Linked DNA regions of Saccharomyces cerevisiae S288C. Changing the gene in region 2 together with the main gene of any one other region gives a genetic interaction. Each region holds a gene or a part of one and is shown on either strand. Other genes may lie near its edges.

Region 1 (10,892 bases), on a different chromosome or scaffold from region 2:
AATAGTTGAGCCATCTTTCATCATTCAGCTACAAAAAAAAAAAAAAGTTATTCATTGATAAAAGCCCATTTTTTTCTGTTTGAGTAGCAAGCACACTTACCATGACCCTGGTTGCTGGGGCCAAGACAAGAGTAATATCTCAAAAATGACCGTCGTTATCGGAGTCTTGGCATTACAGGGTGCGTTCATTGAACATGTGCGACACGTAGAAAAATGCATCGTCGAAAACAGGGATTTCTATGAAAAAAAACTATCTGTGATGACAGTGAAGGATAAAAATCAACTAGCTCAATGTGATGCATTGATCATACCTGGGGGAGAGTCGACTGCAATGTCCCTTATTGCAGAAAGAACAGGATTTTACGACGATCTCTACGCATTCGTACACAACCCAAGCAAGGTAACCTGGGGTACTTGTGCAGGTTTGATTTATATTTCACAACAATTATCTAACGAAGCAAAACTGGTCAAGACGCTGAATTTACTAAAGGTTAAAGTAAAAAGAAATGCATTTGGGAGACAAGCTCAGTCTTCTACCCGGATTTGCGACTTTTCAAACTTTATTCCTCACTGCAATGATTTTCCTGCTACTTTTATAAGAGCCCCAGTAATAGAAGAGGTGCTGGATCCTGAACATGTGCAGGTCCTGTACAAATTAGATGGGAAGGATAATGGTGGTCAAGAACTAATTGTTGCCGCTAAGCAAAAAAACAATATTCTTGCGACATCATTTCATCCGGAATTGGCAGAAAACGATATACGGTTTCACGACTGGTTCATCAGAGAATTTGTTCTTAAAAACTACAGTAAATAAAAGGGACGTATAGTATAGTTATGGAGAAAGGAGATCATCACTGTTCATTCTGAACTCGCCTCATTGAAACTTACCTATTTAGTTATACCCAAATGTATTGCATATGACTTTCTTTGAAAAATCATCACCCAAAGAACTGGTGTGGCCCCACGGTTTTCTCGAGTTTTCAGTGTCCACCACCGTAGCAAAACATGATAACCAGTGCAGTCTTGGAAATTGCTCGTTAATGGCACTAACTGTATCGATATGAATCAGATCGGTATTGGATCCGACATTGTCAAGCGTAGTAGCAATCTGCAGAATGAGCCCCAAGGTGGTAATGTAGCCAGTCCCAGTCAAATCCTGGTGACGAATGATGGCCTCAGTTACTGCATCTGCATAGTCCTGATTTCCACCTGTCGCATTAAATACAAGCTCCCTTGAAAGTATGCCACCATAATACTCAAATGACATCTTCGTGGCTCTCATATTCTTATCTGTTGTTGCAATATCATGAAGTAAGCAGGTGACGTACAAAACTTCCTGATCCAAGTCCCATGCTGGAAATTGGTCTCTTATGATAGCTACACTATATTGAAAAACACGCAAAGAGTGGTTTAGAACGGGGGCAGTCAATTCTTTAGCGGCATATTCCCGAACAAGCCTAGCAGTTTCACTGTTTGGAGGCGGAACAACGGCCCGTGGTCTAGGTGCATTCACCACTGGAATGGCCTTTTCTACCTCTCTAGGAACTCTTACAAATCCGTACTGTGACATGATTGATTCTTTTGAAGAGAAGCAAGGCAAAAAACAGTACGAAGCAACTTCATGTTAACAGAAGAAGAAGGAAACTAACCCATTTATATATAATTTTATGAGGGGACCGATCCTAAAAAGTTATTTGTAAAGCTCGTACAAGATTGATTGATGACTTCCCGACAAACTATTGTGCGGTGGAGTATTTTGTATTATAGAAATGATAGTGTCCATGCACTTTAATAAGATCTTTTTTGCGGACATTTGTTTCGGGGCCGTCCAAAGTTGTTTGATGGTATAACTCCGCATATTTGACATCTTTCTCTTTTAAACCAGTATCAGTTAGTCTTTTGCAATTTTCTTGAGGGATTCAGTCTAGAAAGTTGATTTTCATTGCTGTTAAGATAAAAATTCCTTCTAACCCAGCTTGTACTCCGTATACTTTCAATGCTCTCAAAAAGATATGGATACTAGTTAGTTTAGACCCTGTAGTTTCACCAGCTGCTAGTATTCAACGTTCATGCGACTTCTATAAAGGAGTGCTTGGCTTTGATGTTACAACATTCGGGAACTATCGCAGGGCTCTGTCTTTTTTTGGAGTCAGAAAAATCAATTTGCATGAGGTGGGAAAGGAATTTGAGCCCAAGGCACAGAAGCCAACTCTCGGATCTGTCGATCTGTGTTTTATCTTAGAGGATCCTTTGAATAACAGTTACCCATCTTGAAAGCTTGGATTTTCCAATTGAAGAGGGCACTGTAATCCGTACAGGCGCAGTCAACCCTATTATCAGTATACATCCGTGATTAAGATGAAAGTGTGATGGAAATATCAAATAGAATAAAAGAAACGGAATAGAGCTATTTTTTTTTTATATTATAGACATAGTCTAAGCGAGTTTAACCTTTGAAATATAAAAAAAAAAAACAAAAGGAAAAAAGTAGTATGTGGGCTGCACTAAACTAAAACCGTGAGGTATTTAGATATATATTCTACATTGTTTTACGTTATAGCATGTATAAACATACAAATACATACTGTGAGATGATTGTGGTATGACACAGTGTGTAATAGAGGAAGTGAAGAATGCCAAGAGCAGTTTTTTTATCTATTTTCTGCGAATTTTCTTATGTCGGAAGTTATTCTCGGATAATATGCGGCTGCGCTAAAAATAGTTTATCGCATGCGTAAATCAGGGACCAATTTATAATGCTATAATGGACGTCGCAGTGCAGGAACTACTTGATTTTTTTTTTTTTTTTTAATTTTTTTCTTTCTATAGCTAGTCACACAGCCATTACCACCCAAAATTAAACTGTTTTATGTATGTTTAGTCACCAAATTATCAAAAGAGCATGATTTTTCTCCTGAGCACTTCAAAATGAAATTTGAAATCTTACCAAGCCCTCAATATAAACCAATATTTCAAGAAAGCTAGAGACATTGCAAATATTTTGCTCATTCAAACATATAGCTAAGGCAAAGGGATACTAAAACTCAGCAACTTGATGAAAGTTCGAAAATAACTGGCAGTGTATCTATAAAAGCTTCACTGTGGGAATGCAGTGTCCATCCAGTATTCAGCACAGGTTTTCCTAAGCCTTCTGTACATCCCTTCATTTAACAGTAAATGTGGAAAACAAGAAGGGTAATTGTGAAAGAGTCCGATTGTAGTTGATGAACAGTAAAATCACTTATTATTTAAGGATTCCGCTGCGGTATGCGTTTTCTACTGATGCGTGGAGCAAGCCACGCCATGTGATTAACCTTGCTTGATAAAAACACCAACCCATCGTTCAGAATATGCATGGAATACAGCATCTCTAGGAGGAGAAAGACAATAAGTTTTGCGCATATGGTAGGATGATAGCACACTGATTTCTGTCAACCAGTGAGAAATAGGGAAAAAGAGAATGGTTGTAATCGTAAAAAGTAGTCTCGTTTTGGTTATTCGCAGCTGACAAACTACAAAATATATAAATTGAAAAAGTTGTATTTATCTTTACGCTAAGGACTCCTCACTGCAGGATAATTGCGCTTCTTTAATATATGGCCATAGTTCCACATTCAATGATAGAGCCCGCATAGATTTCTTCGCAGATAGAACGCGGTAGAAGAAGTGGCTAAAAAACCATTCACAGTCAATCCCGTCAAAGAAAAACTCTTCATTCTTCCAGACTTTTTTCTCAAACAAGTACCTATTCATTTTCCTTGCAATTTCGTCCCATCCATTCGCACCACTTTCTTGCTCATTTATAATAGTCGACAAGAACTGCATCTTGTGTTCCATGCTCATAATCAAAACCCTTATATTTTGGAAACCTTGTACCAACATGAAAAGAATCCACCCGAGATACAAGGTGCGTAATAGAAGGCACATTCCCCGTGACACATATATGCAGCACAAAAAATTAAGGAATGGTATCAACATAAAAATATTGGAAATCCTCTTTAAAAACCAAGTAAGCTTAAATCGGTAAGCTTCCTTGGGAAGTTTAGCATCTTCCAGGCCAACAGGGCTCCATGATTTCTCAGAATTAAACAACTTCCATTGTTTTTCAACTTCTCTAAAATAAACTCCCAATGCTTCTTCAATGTAAGGGACGGAATCCTTAAATGACTTAACCTTGGCAGCTTCGTCTTTTTTCAAAGAGAAGGGTTCGAGAAGGGTTGTTCTGAACGCTTCTTGGCAGCCCATGGCATTGAAGAAAAAGTACCTAATATTCCAAGCCTTATTTTCATATAAGTACGAATTTAGATTTGCTGCAACAACTTCCCAATCATGAGGATCCGAACTTGGTGTGCTTTTAGTAATCTCTTTGCAAAACTGAGTGAGTTGTTTCGATAAGGAACGTTTACGAGAAAGTCTAAAAATAACAAGAACAAATACTGGTCCCCAAAACAGGACAAGAAGTGAAACCATAAGCGGGTAAATCCAATTGTTGGAAAGCTTCCACCAGACGCTAAGTGGTAGCCATAATAGCATCCAGATGCGAAACGCTAAGGACTTGTAAATTTCATAACAAAACCAGGTAAAGCTGCTTCTGAAAAGATCTTGAGGTAGAACAATCTTTTGAGATTCGAGCTGTTTGAAAGATAATACATCTACACTTTTCTCATTTTTAAGTTCATTTTCTTTCATTTTCGGTAATGAGATGGCAGTTCGAGGGGTTTTTTATTCGAGATAGTAACTTCTGGCTTTTCGCTTTTATAGAGTAGAAAAAAAAGCCGCCGAGGCGCGCGCGTTCATGCAATGGCTCAGTAACCTCGTGATAGAAAAAGGGCAACAATGTTGGGCTATTTTAGGCACAGAAACTCTACTATTCGAAAAGGGAGTCCATTTCATTTCCGGTTTTCTATCTAAGTTACTCGATAATCGTAATAATACTTTTACAAAGCTTTGTATGAGGGTACATCACGGTGTGCCGTAACTTTGGTTTACATTTAAGGTGCGACCAGCAATGTCACTGTTCGCACAGCAGTTGTTACCCAAAATGAAACGTATATTTTAAGCGTAGATTGCCTGTGACAAAAATGTGTAAATATCTAATAGAAAATAGACGTAGCTGTCACAAATATTTACACAGGAAAGAGTCTGTCCTACGAGTATCTTACATGAAGATTCATAGAACCAATTTATTTCCCTATATTGATAACCTTTCAATACCATTTTTTCTCCTTATGTTTGATGTCACTGTAAAAAGGCTCAAAGCAAAACTTAGAGGTACGGTGGTGCTAAGATCATGCATGACCTCTGGGTAATTACTACTTCTCCCGCTTGCTTTGAGATTCTGTATATAAATGTTTCAAACAAAAGGATAGAGCACGGATGGGAGGCCTTATAGTAAAAATTATTCGTTTTAATCATGCGTCAGTGTGCGATTCTATGACAATAGTATGAGAAGATAGGGTGAAGTAAAAGCGTCTGTATGACTATAGAGTACAGTTATATTACAATATATGGAATAGAGCATAGTGGTATGACGGTATTAAGGAACATTTAAGTTAATGACCTCATGGTGGTATTGATACGCAATTGAGTGTGTTTATGTATTATTGTTGAAGGATAGAATATTTTTATGTTTAGGTGATTTTAGTGGTGATTTTTTTGTAATATTGGCATAAGTGTATATAAATTGAGTGGTTAGTATACGGTGAAAAAGAGGTATAACGTATGTATTAAGGGCATTTATACAATATTTGGGGCCGCGGAATAAGATATAAATATTAAAATGTGGATAATAGTGGGAGTTATGCGTAAATGGCACAGGGTATAGACCGCTGAGGCAAGTGCCGTGCATAATGATGTGGGTGCATTTGTACTCATGAAGTGAGAGATGGGCCATGGAGTGGAATGTGAAAGTAGGGTAAGTTGAGATAGTATATACTATTGTAGCATCCGTGTGCGTATGCCGTATCAGTATACAAGTGATGGTGAGTATGACAGATGGGGCATGGTAGGGTATTGGCAGGGTAAGTATGTGTGCATTGTTTACGATCATTTGTTAACGTTTCAATATGGAGGGTAGAACAACAGTACAGTGAGTAGGACATGGTGGATGGTAGGGTAATGGCAGGGTAAGTGGCAGTGAGGTTGGATATGGGTAATTGGAGGGTAACTGTTATGGTGGATTTGTGGGTTGGTGGTGGGGAGGCAGGGTAACGAGTGGGGAGGCAGGGTAATGGAGGGTAAGTTGAGAGACAGGATGGAAGGGTTGGATTAGGGTAGGGTTGAGGTAGTATTAGGGTGTGGGTGTGGTGTGTGGGTGTGGGTGTGGTGGGTGTGGTGTGGGTGTGGTGTGGTGTGGGTGTGGTGTGTGGGTGTGGTGTGGGTGTGGTGTGTGGGTGTGGGTGTGTGGGTGTGGTGTGTGTGGGTGTGTGGGTATATATATGTCACTGTATTGCATGCTGGATGGTGTTAGACAAGGCCGTAGGGACATATAGCATCTAGGAAGTAACCTTGTACGAAAATAGGCAATATTTCCTGTTTAGGCGATTGGGACGCAGATTTTAGTCCAACGATCTAGCGTCAAGGAATTTTTTTATAGTGGGACATTGCACCAAGGAAGTAACTTGATACGTCGTGGGTGAATGGGTCTGTTTTCTTATTCGGCGGGGTAATACATTTTTGGGGGAAGTTTGTCTGTCTGACGCGCCATATGTAGGTACGCCAAAAAGGGCTCCTCTACTTCGAAGCGCGAGGTCGTATACCTAATAAGGAAATGTAATTTATAACTTTCTATTATATTGGTCTTTTCGAGAGCGGAAGAAGTTGTAGGCTAAGCGCAGGCTAAGCGTAGGTCCATGTTTGAAGTATCCAAGAGAATATCCACGAATCCTGGTTCTCCTCGACTAAGCAGATAGTTAAGATACTGTGCACCATGGAAATTGAAAACGAAAGTGCGTACCGACTACTTTATTTTTGCAGGCCGGAAATCAAGCGATGAATGAGACATCCTTCTGTTTTCTATGTTGTGCTTGAAGGGGACAGACAGTCGCTTATCTTAGTGAGATTTCTTATTAACTGAATTTTCTTTGCTGCTGCTGGAGATTTGCACCTGCATAGCGCAGATTCTGCATCTTCTCAATAGCTTAATTATTACATTCTTAGATGATGATAAGACGGAAACTGGACAATCTTTTGTTTATATTGATGGATTTCTTGTCAAAAAGCATAACAATCAACATACTATTGTTAATTTCGAAACTTACAAAAATAAAATGAAAGTTTCCGATAGGCGTAAGTTTGAAAAAGCAAACTTTGACGAGTTTGAGTCGGCTCTAAATAACAAAAACGACTTGGTACATTGTCCCTCAATAACTTTATTTGAATCGATCCCCACGGAAGTGCGGTCATTCTACGAAGACGAAAAGTCTGGCCTAATCAAAGTGGTAAAATTCAGAACTGGTGCAATGAATAGGAAAAGGTCTTTTGAAAAAATTGTCATTTCCGTCATGGTCGGGAAAAATGTACAAAAGTTCCTGACATTTGTTGAAGACGAACCAGATTTCCAGGGCGGACCAATCCCTTCAAAGTATCTTATTCCCAAGAAAATCAACTTGATGGTCTACACGTTGTTTCAAGTGCATACTTTGAAATTCAATAGAAAGGATTACGATACCCTTTCTCTTTTTTACCTCAACAGAGGATACTATAATGAGTTGAGTTTTCCGTGTCCTGGAACGTTGTCACGAAATAGCGAGTGCCAGGCCGAACGACAGCTCTACGATGCGTACTTTCACTGACTTTGTTTCTGGCGCACCTATTGTAAGGAGTCTTCAGAAAAGCACCATAAGGAAATATGGGTACAATTTGGCACCCCACATGTTTTTGTTACTACACGTAGATGAGCTATCGATTTTTTCTGCATACCAAGCAAGTTTACCTGGCGAAAAGAAAGTCGACACAGAGCGGCTGAAGCGTGATCTATGCCCACGTAAACCCATTGAGATAAAGTACTTTTCACAGATATGTAACGATATGATGAACAAAAAGGACCGATTGGGTGATGTTTTGCGTGTGTGCTGCCCAAGTTGAGAAGAGATACTAACAAAATGACCGCGGCTCTCAAAAATAATTGACGAGCTTACGGTGATACGCTTACCGTTATCCAGAGCTACAGCGCAACGTATACGTCGACGATACAACAAGAACGGTTCATCGGAGCCTCGACTAAAGACGCTTGACGGACTCACTTCCGAGCGCTGGATTCAATGGTTAGGCCTTGAAAGCGACTACCATTGTTCATTCTCTAGTACTCGGAATGCGGAAGACGTAGTGGCAGGTGAGGCGGCGAGTTCAGATCATGATCAAAAAATTTCAAGAGTAACGCGAAAAAGGCCCCGAGAGCCCAAGAGTACAAACGATATCCTCGTCGCAGGCCAGAAACTCTTTGGCAGCTCCTTTGAATTCAGGGACTTGCATCAGTTGCGCTTATGTCATGAAATATACATGGCAGACACACCCTCTGTGGCAGTACAGGCCCCACCGGGCTATGGTAAGACGGAGTTATTTCATCTCCCCTTGATAGCACTGGCGTCTAAGGGCGACGTGAAATATGTGTCGTTTCTGTTTGTACCGTACACAGTGTTGCTTGCTAATTGCATGATCAGGTTGGGCCGACGCGGTTGCTTGAATGTGGCCCCTGTAAGAAACTTTATTGAAGAAGGTTACGATGGCGTTACTGATTTATACGTGGGGATCTACGATGATCTTGCTAGCACTAATTTCACAGACAGGATAGCTGCGTGGGAGAATATTGTTGAGTGCACCTTTAGGACCAACAACGTAAAATTGGGTTACCTCATTGTAGATGAGTTTCACAACTTTGAAACGGAGGTCTACCGGCAGTCGCAATTTGGGGGCATAACTAACCTTGATTTTGACGCTTTTGAGAAAGCAATCTTTTTGAGCGGCACAGCCCCTGAGGCTGTAGCTGATGCTGCGTTGCAGCGTATTGGGCTTACGGGACTGGCCAAGAAGTCGATGGACATCAACGAGCTCAAACGGTCGGAAGATCTCAGCAGAGGTCTATCCAGCTATCCAACACGGATGTTTAATCTAATCAAGGAGAAATCCGAGGTGCCTTTAGGGCATGTTCATAAAATTTGGAAGAAAGTGGAATCACAGCCCGAAGAAGCACTGAAGCTTCTTTTAGCCCTCTTTGAAATTGAACCAGAGTCGAAGGCCATTGTAGTTGCAAGCACAACCAACGAAGTGGAAGAATTGGCCTGCTCTTGGAGAAAGTATTTTAGGGTGGTATGGATACACGGGAAGCTGGGTGCTGCAGAAAAGGTGTCTCGCACAAAGGAGTTTGTCACTGACGGTAGCATGCAAGTTCTCATCGGAACGAAATTAGTGACTGAAGGAATTGACATTAAGCAATTGATGATGGTGATCATGCTTGATAATAGACTTAATATTATTGAGCTCATTCAAGGTGTAGGGAGACTAAGAGATGGGGGCCTCTGTTATCTATTATCTAGAAAAAACAGTTGGGCGGCAAGGAATCGTAAGGGTGAATTACCACCAATTAAGGAAGGCTGTATAACCGAACAGGTACGCGAGTTCTATGGACTTGAATCAAAGAAAGGAAAAAAGGGCCAGCATGTTGGATGCTGTGTCTGCTGACACAGTGGAACTGATAGAAAGAATGGACAGATTGGCTGAAAAACAGGCGACAGCTTCCATGTCGATCGTTGCGTTACCGTCTAGCTTCCAGGAGAGCAATAGCAGTGACAGGTGCAGAAAGTATTGCAGCAGTGATGAGGACAGCGACACGTGCATTCATGGTAGTGCTAATGCCAGTACTAACGCCAGTACTAATGCGATTACCACTGCTAGTACCAACGTCAGGACTAATGCGACTACCAATGCTAGTACTAATGCGACTACCAATGCCAGTACCAATGCCAGTACCAATGCGACTACCAATGCCAGTACCAATGCGACTACCAACTCCAGCACTAATGCTACTACCACTGCCAGCACCAACGTCAGGACTAGTGCTACTACCACTGCCAGCATCAACGTCAGGACTAGTGCTACTACCACTGAAAGTACCAACTCCAGCACTAATGCGACTACCACTGCCAGCATCAACGTCAGGACTAGTGCGACTACCACTGCCAGCATCAACGTCAGGACTAATGCTACTACCACTGCCAGCACCAACGCTAGTGCCAAGGAGGACGCCAATAAAGATGGCAATGCTGAGGATAATAGATTCCATCCAGTCACCGACATTAACAAAGAGTCGTATAAGCGGAAAGGGAGTCAAATGGTTTTGCTAGAGAGAAAGAAACTGAAAGCACAATTTCCCAATACTTCCGAGAATATGAATGTCTTACAGTTTCTTGGATTTCGGTCTGACGAAATTAAACATCTTTTCCTCTATGGTATTGACGTATACTTCTGCCCAGAGGGAGTATTCACACAATACGGATTATGCAAGGGCTGTCAAAAGATGTTCGAGCTCTGTGTCTGTTGGGCTGGCCAGAAAGTATCGTATCGGAGGATGGCTTGGGAAGCACTAGCTGTGGAGAGAATGCTGCGAAATGACGAGGAATACAAAGAATACTTGGAAGACATCGAGCCATATCATGGGGACCCTGTAGGGTATTTGAAATTTTTTAGCGTAAAAAGGGGAGAGATCTACTCTCAGATACAGAGAAATTATGCTTGGTACCTGGCCATTACTAGAAGAAGAGAAACAATTAGTGTATTGGATTCGACAAGAGGCAAGCAAGGGAGCCAAGTTTTCCGCATGTCTGGAAGGCAGATCAAAGAGTTGTATTATAAAGTATGGAGCAACTTGCGTGAATCGAAGACAGAGGTGCTGCAGT
Region 2 (5,811 bases):
ACCTGTACATTTGCTGGATCCTCGGATGAGATCGTGAACACAAGATGAAATTCAGCCTGTAAAATTTCCTTTCTTGAATGAGGTTCTTTCGGATTGTAGCTAATGACTTGACTTAATACTTCCATTAAAGCCCCATTAGTGTCCTCTTCGGCATCACTACTAACCTGGTTGATTATTCGAATTACTTTTTCCTGGGTTTCTGAGCAGACCTCTGGTCCAAGGACTGAATCTAGTTCGGCAAAATAACAATAGTACGTAAATGCTATTAATGTTGCGGATTTAATGAGCTCTTTATCAGATTTTAGCGCCAAATTAAGACTTTTTGCCAAGAATGCAGATGTCAAGGGTTTGATATCAGGTAATGCATCTATAAATTTGTCTAGTACTCTGGGAATAGTCAAAATTGCACGCGCCAATATTAATTCTGGTATTTCTTGTGATACTAAGATATTTTCTAACGTTTTTATTAAAATTTGCAAAGATTGATCGATATTTTCACCAGTTATCTCATCATCATTAAGCAAAATACACTGTAAGAGATATAGTAAAGATTCTAAAGTTGAATAATTACACGTGCTGTGTTCTATATCGTTGGAAACAACTTTGAAAATTAGGGAAAGTTGAGGATTGGGTAATGAAGTAAAAAATTCATTGGCTTGATCTCTAACATTATATGATGCTGCTAGGCCTGTTTCCTTCGATACAAATGTATTGAAATCGCTTGTCCATATCTCTCTTGTCTCAGAACTTAGCTGACAAAGAATGGTTAAAGATGTTATAATTTTGTTCATCTCTTCAACACTAAATTGCAAAGTGCAAACACTAGTCAAAAATTCTACAATATAAATAGAACAATCATGAACTGTTTCTAAAAGGGGTTCACTTTCAGTAGTTTCGACATTTGCATTTATATGGGTAACGTTTTCCAGATCTTGGATTGCCATTATTTTGAACTGTTTTTGTAATTCACTTGAGAAATGCTTTCTAGAGAAATCATTTTTAATAAAAACCAAATTCTCGTATATAATGGATTTAAATTTCAACTGAGAAATAACATCTACGTTTCCAAAATTCAAAGTCAACAATTGTCCCAATATCTGTAAAGAAGTAGCTAAACATTGGGAGACAAAACTTTTTCGTGACGCCTCATCATACTCATTATGGGAGCTCATTTGTAGAAGACATGCTTTAAGTAGCTTCAAAGCAGCAATTTTGGCTATCAAAGTAGAAGTTTCTGTATTGAGTACTTTGAAAACGATCTCCATTGTCGCCAAGCCAATTCCGCCTTCAAAGAACATTTCTTCAGATACGACATCATCGTAAATTTCATTCAATAAAGACATCGCATTTAATGAATGCTGATGAGAGATAGCATCATAAATAACTGTTAAAAGCTGCGGCCATTGATCAGGAAAATCAACCGCAGATATCTGAACAATACAGTAAGATGCACCATTTTTTATTTTGGTATTTTCATTGTCATTTAAGCATAATTTCAGTAGCACTTCTCGGATAAAATCTTTAACATCTATTTCGACGTTCGATGTAGAACGGTATGATTCAAATCCTGGACTCCAATACATGGTGATCAATTTTCTTAACGACAATAAAGCAAACTGTCTCGATTCTAGAGAAGCTTCGTGCTGTAAGGCAACGTTTGCCAGCGCTTTAAACACTTGAGATGCATCGGAATCACACCACTGTAACAATTGCGTTTCCGCAACTTCTCTAGTGTGTTTATCAGCTGATTGAGCACCTATTATCAATTCATTAATATCCATTTTAATGTGTTGATAGTGTTACAATTACGTTCAAGATTTTCGGATCGTGTATGCAGGTCATATACATCCATATGTATCTTTTTTTTTTTTTCCTAGTATACCCAAGGTATAACGCGTTGATAGAAAGGTTGACAATAAATTCATTATATAGGGGTCCTGTGAGGTAGTTTCTGAATCCCAGTGAAAAAAGTCATAAGTGAAAGAAGTCGAAGTTTTTCACAAAATAAATTAGTTTCTTTTTTTGATCATGAATACTGAAGGTGCTTCTTTAAGTGAACAATTGCTGGATGCAGCTAGAAGAAACAATCTGGATCTTTTGGAGACCGTATTTGATAGCTTAGATAATGATCCTGAGAAGATTGCAAAGCTAATTAACGAATCCAAAGAACCACTGGGGAATACAGCGTTACATTTATGTTGTAAGTATGGATCCTGGGAAGTTCTCGACAAGATTCTCGATCAAGACGGTGAAATCGAAATAGACCCACAAAACGACGTTGATGGCGACACTCCGTTACATGTTACTGTCAGATACAGTCAAGAGGAGCCTGAGCATGGAACTTTTATTGCTAGAAACTTAATTGAAGTGGGTGCGGATCCTAGGGTGAGAAACTATAACAATCAAAAGCCAGTTGATTTGGTTCATGGTGATGAACTGGATGAATTAATTGACCTTTTGCAGGGTGCCGAGTTAGCGATTGATAGTACCAATGGATCAGGTGATAACAATGAGGATGGGGAAATGATAGATGATGGTCCATCTGACGATGACGAAGAAGATGATAAAAAATGATAAAATATGTGATGATAATACCACAGAGAGGGAAAGATAGATGAACTCTGGATATATAGATATTTCTACTGTGTATATATTTCTTTAAGGTGCACTAACAAAAAAGTGTGCATATACGCATATTCAACAATATATATATATATTACTTCACATCATCCGTTCTGGTGGGTATCCAACCATCGGGAGATAAAATGTTCTTTATTGCGATAATTAACTGGCTTCTCTTTTTTTGACGAGATTTAAATTCCAAATAGCTTATTCCTTCATACTCTGGTCTTATTTTTTTGAATAGTTCCCATTGTGCAAACCGGCTTACTTGCGATTGACAGTGTTTCCTCAGTGGTTTCGATGATTTGGTATAAAATCCATTCCTCACGCCATTAAGAATCGCTTCTTCGGTGCTAAAGTCATCCATAAAGAGCTTGACACTACACATTAGACCAGGAACATCCTCCTCATCCAATTTATCATCATAAAATGGTTTGAGGCAATTCAGGAATTTAATTTCATTATCTAGATTCGGTAGACGAGTGTGAAATGATTGCTCTAGATGATGTTTCGTTTCATCTTCTAAATTAGGAATCACAATGTACTTTAAAAATACAGGTTTTTCAAAGAGTTCATAATTTAAACAATTCAGTACCGACGACCGTTGTTTCATTAATAATTTATCAGAACAGGATTTAGATAAAGTGATATTGGAATCATATCTTCCTGGTTTAGTCCTAACGACATTTCTTCTATTGAAATTCAAGCGTCCCCTCAATATTGTTTTCACACTACGGTCGACGTATTGAAATTCGTCGCTATCTTCTATTTTGATGAAATCATCATTTTTGCAATTATCATTCAGGAAACTCATGCTGGCATCACCACAGGGCAATCTCGAGATGTACAATGCCAACTCCCAGTTTTCCTTTAAATTGAATCTGGCAGGTATCTCGTCATTATGTTGAATGAATTTATCACCACTTGATGGATTATAGTTTTGAATACGGTTTAATAAAACTGTATTAGCACCTCGTAATGCCAGTATTTCTGCATGACAGTCATGCAGAATCTTCCCCTCACTTCTTTGTAGTTCTGAATCTGGCAAAGCCTTCACACCAGTAGCTATGGAAAGTATCTCTATCTTATTCGCACCGCCATCTCTGTTAATAGCTGCAACACCTGCCAATATTGTCCACTCTCTGATACCTGAAGGCCTAATTATTGGTCTGCAGGCAGATTTTAGTTTTGAATACTCATTAATCACCCTCGTTGATATCTCTTCACCCAATTTATCCTCACTTGGCATAGTGAGAAGGTTTACTATGCATGGCCTTGTTCCTTGGCACGAAACCATTCACATCACTATTATTTTCTGTTCATTTTTTTTTTTTTTTGCATCACAACGATGATAGTATTATTTTTATTTAGTATATTTAAATATATAAATATAAATATATTTTTACAAACACTGAAATTGTCCTGCCTACTAAAACTTAAGGTCAAATTTGATATCCAATTCACCAACCATGCGCTCCAACCCACCAAGGCGCCTGAATTGTGCCACAAGTAGCTCTTTCTCACGCTTATCTTTAGCATCTTTATCTTCTTGTAGCTTCTCTTGTTGTGCAATTTCTTTAGCTTTTGCGTTTTCTTCCTTTTGTATCTCCTGATAGTAAACTTTGGTCCTGGTTTTTAGCCTGCTGAAAGGATCGCTCTTTGAATCAAAGTTATTACTGTCTTCTTTTTTCACATGCTCTGCATTTCTGATGTTACTCATATTCAATTTTCTATTCTTAGAGGTCAACTCGCCTAGTTTTTTAATGTCAGATTGGTCATTTTCATGATGCTTCTCGTATACAGACATTCGTTTCTCAAAGTTTCTTAACTGAGCAGAGTATTTTGCAATGTCCTTTTCATTATTAGTCTCCTTGGCATATTGCAATTTTTCTCTCAATACAGTTTTCTCCAAGACTGCATTCGTACCAGATAGTTTTTTATTGAATTGCATCCTATGGCGAACAACCTCATCTGTAGTTTTATCAGTCAATGGTGTATTGACAAAATCCATAACCTCTTTCGTTTTGTTACTCAAAGAATGTAAAGAAGGTTTAATCATTTGCGAATTATCCAATGCCCTGAGATACCTTTGGTATTCGTCTTCGGCAAACAAACCATCACTAAAATAATTCATTTGAAAAACCTTTCTGTCTTTACCTTGGGTAACACCGAAATACTGGTTAGTATAGAACTTACCCATATTGTAAGGTTTTTGCAAGAAAACTCTCTCAATTCTCACCATACGGTAAGAAGTTTTGCCGGTACGTTTATCTGTGCCAACATTGACTCTCCCATAACAACCTTTGACTGCATCTTCAAACCCGGGATAAAAACAAAATTTTGCGACAAATGAACGACCGATCCTTAGTTTGTTGAAATCAGAAATCTCAGGCTCTCTGTCTTGCTCGTCCTCCTCTTCAGCCCACTCCACTTCTTCTCTTTTGTCGTATGTATCCCTTCTATCAAAAGGATTGTATTCTTCATCATCCCCGTATTCACTCCCTTCATCGTCCTTGTAGTCTTCTTCCCTGTAATCTTCCTCATCGTCTTCGTCTTCATTATCGCTGTAGTGACGGTTTTTCCTCGCTCTTTGTTTCTTTAATTGCGAAAGTTTTGAAGCCTTGATATCAGAATGCCCAGTAGCATGGGTTGATCTAGTGGAAGCTCTGGTCTTTCTGGAATCTTCGTCGTTCTTGGCTCTCTGTTGTTGTTCCTTCATATCTCTTCCACGTGCTCTAAAAAGTTTCCTCTCCTGGTACTTCTGCATGATTTGAGATCTTTCAAATAATAGAGTCTCACGTTCCATTTCAGGTAAGGATTCCAGGTGCTCTCTGTCGCTCTCATCCTTGTACTTTCCTTCCAAGGGAAAAGGATTAGCTTCTTCTTCTTCTTCGGAACCGTAGTCTGCATTTCCTACAGAGTAAGGGTTATAATCGTCCTCCTCATCATCATCCTCTACACTGCCGACTTCAATTCTCCTTTTCTTGGAAAGAGATTGGTCGTTGTTTTTTGCCCTTTTGGCAGATGTAGTTGTCAAAACTTGATCTTCTTCTTCGGATTCATCGGCACCAGCCAAGGCTAATAAATCCTCATCTAAATCAGACATTTCTATAGTGCTCTCAACAAATTAGTGCAATACAATTACAAACTTTGGTATCCTTCAAGTACCTTTTGTAACTTTGAATATTT

What was found.
Region 1: mutations in TAD1 (region 2) and YFL064C together harm fitness more than expected from each alone (negative genetic interaction), as found in Saccharomyces cerevisiae (one large-scale study listed by BioGRID).

What each region holds. Positions count from the first base shown.
Region 1 is NC_001138.5:223-11,114, reverse strand, and holds YFL064C (uncharacterized protein), read left to right. Parts: upstream 1-7,268; coding exon 7,269-7,793; downstream 7,794-10,892. Other genes in the region: SNO3 (putative pyridoxal 5'-phosphate synthase), read left to right, coding at 146-814; DDI3 (cyanamide hydratase), read right to left, coding at 893-1,570; COS4 (Cos4p), read right to left, coding at 3,550-4,689; YFL065C (uncharacterized protein), read left to right, coding at 7,777-8,085; YFL066C (Y' element ATP-dependent helicase), read left to right, coding at 8,500-9,678; YFL067W (uncharacterized protein), read right to left, coding at 9,752-10,279; YFL068W (uncharacterized protein), read right to left, coding at 10,580-10,892.
Region 2 is NC_001139.9:41,415-47,225, reverse strand, and holds TAD1 (tRNA-specific adenosine deaminase), read right to left. Parts: upstream 3,920-5,811; coding exon 2,717-3,919; downstream 1-2,716. Other genes in the region: karyopherin KAP114, read right to left, coding at 1-1,781; ankyrin repeat-containing protein ANK1, read left to right, coding at 2,029-2,574; RTF1 (RNA polymerase-associated protein), read right to left, coding at 4,052-5,728. UniProt on the Saccharomyces cerevisiae protein: Deaminates adenosine-37 to inosine in tRNA-Ala.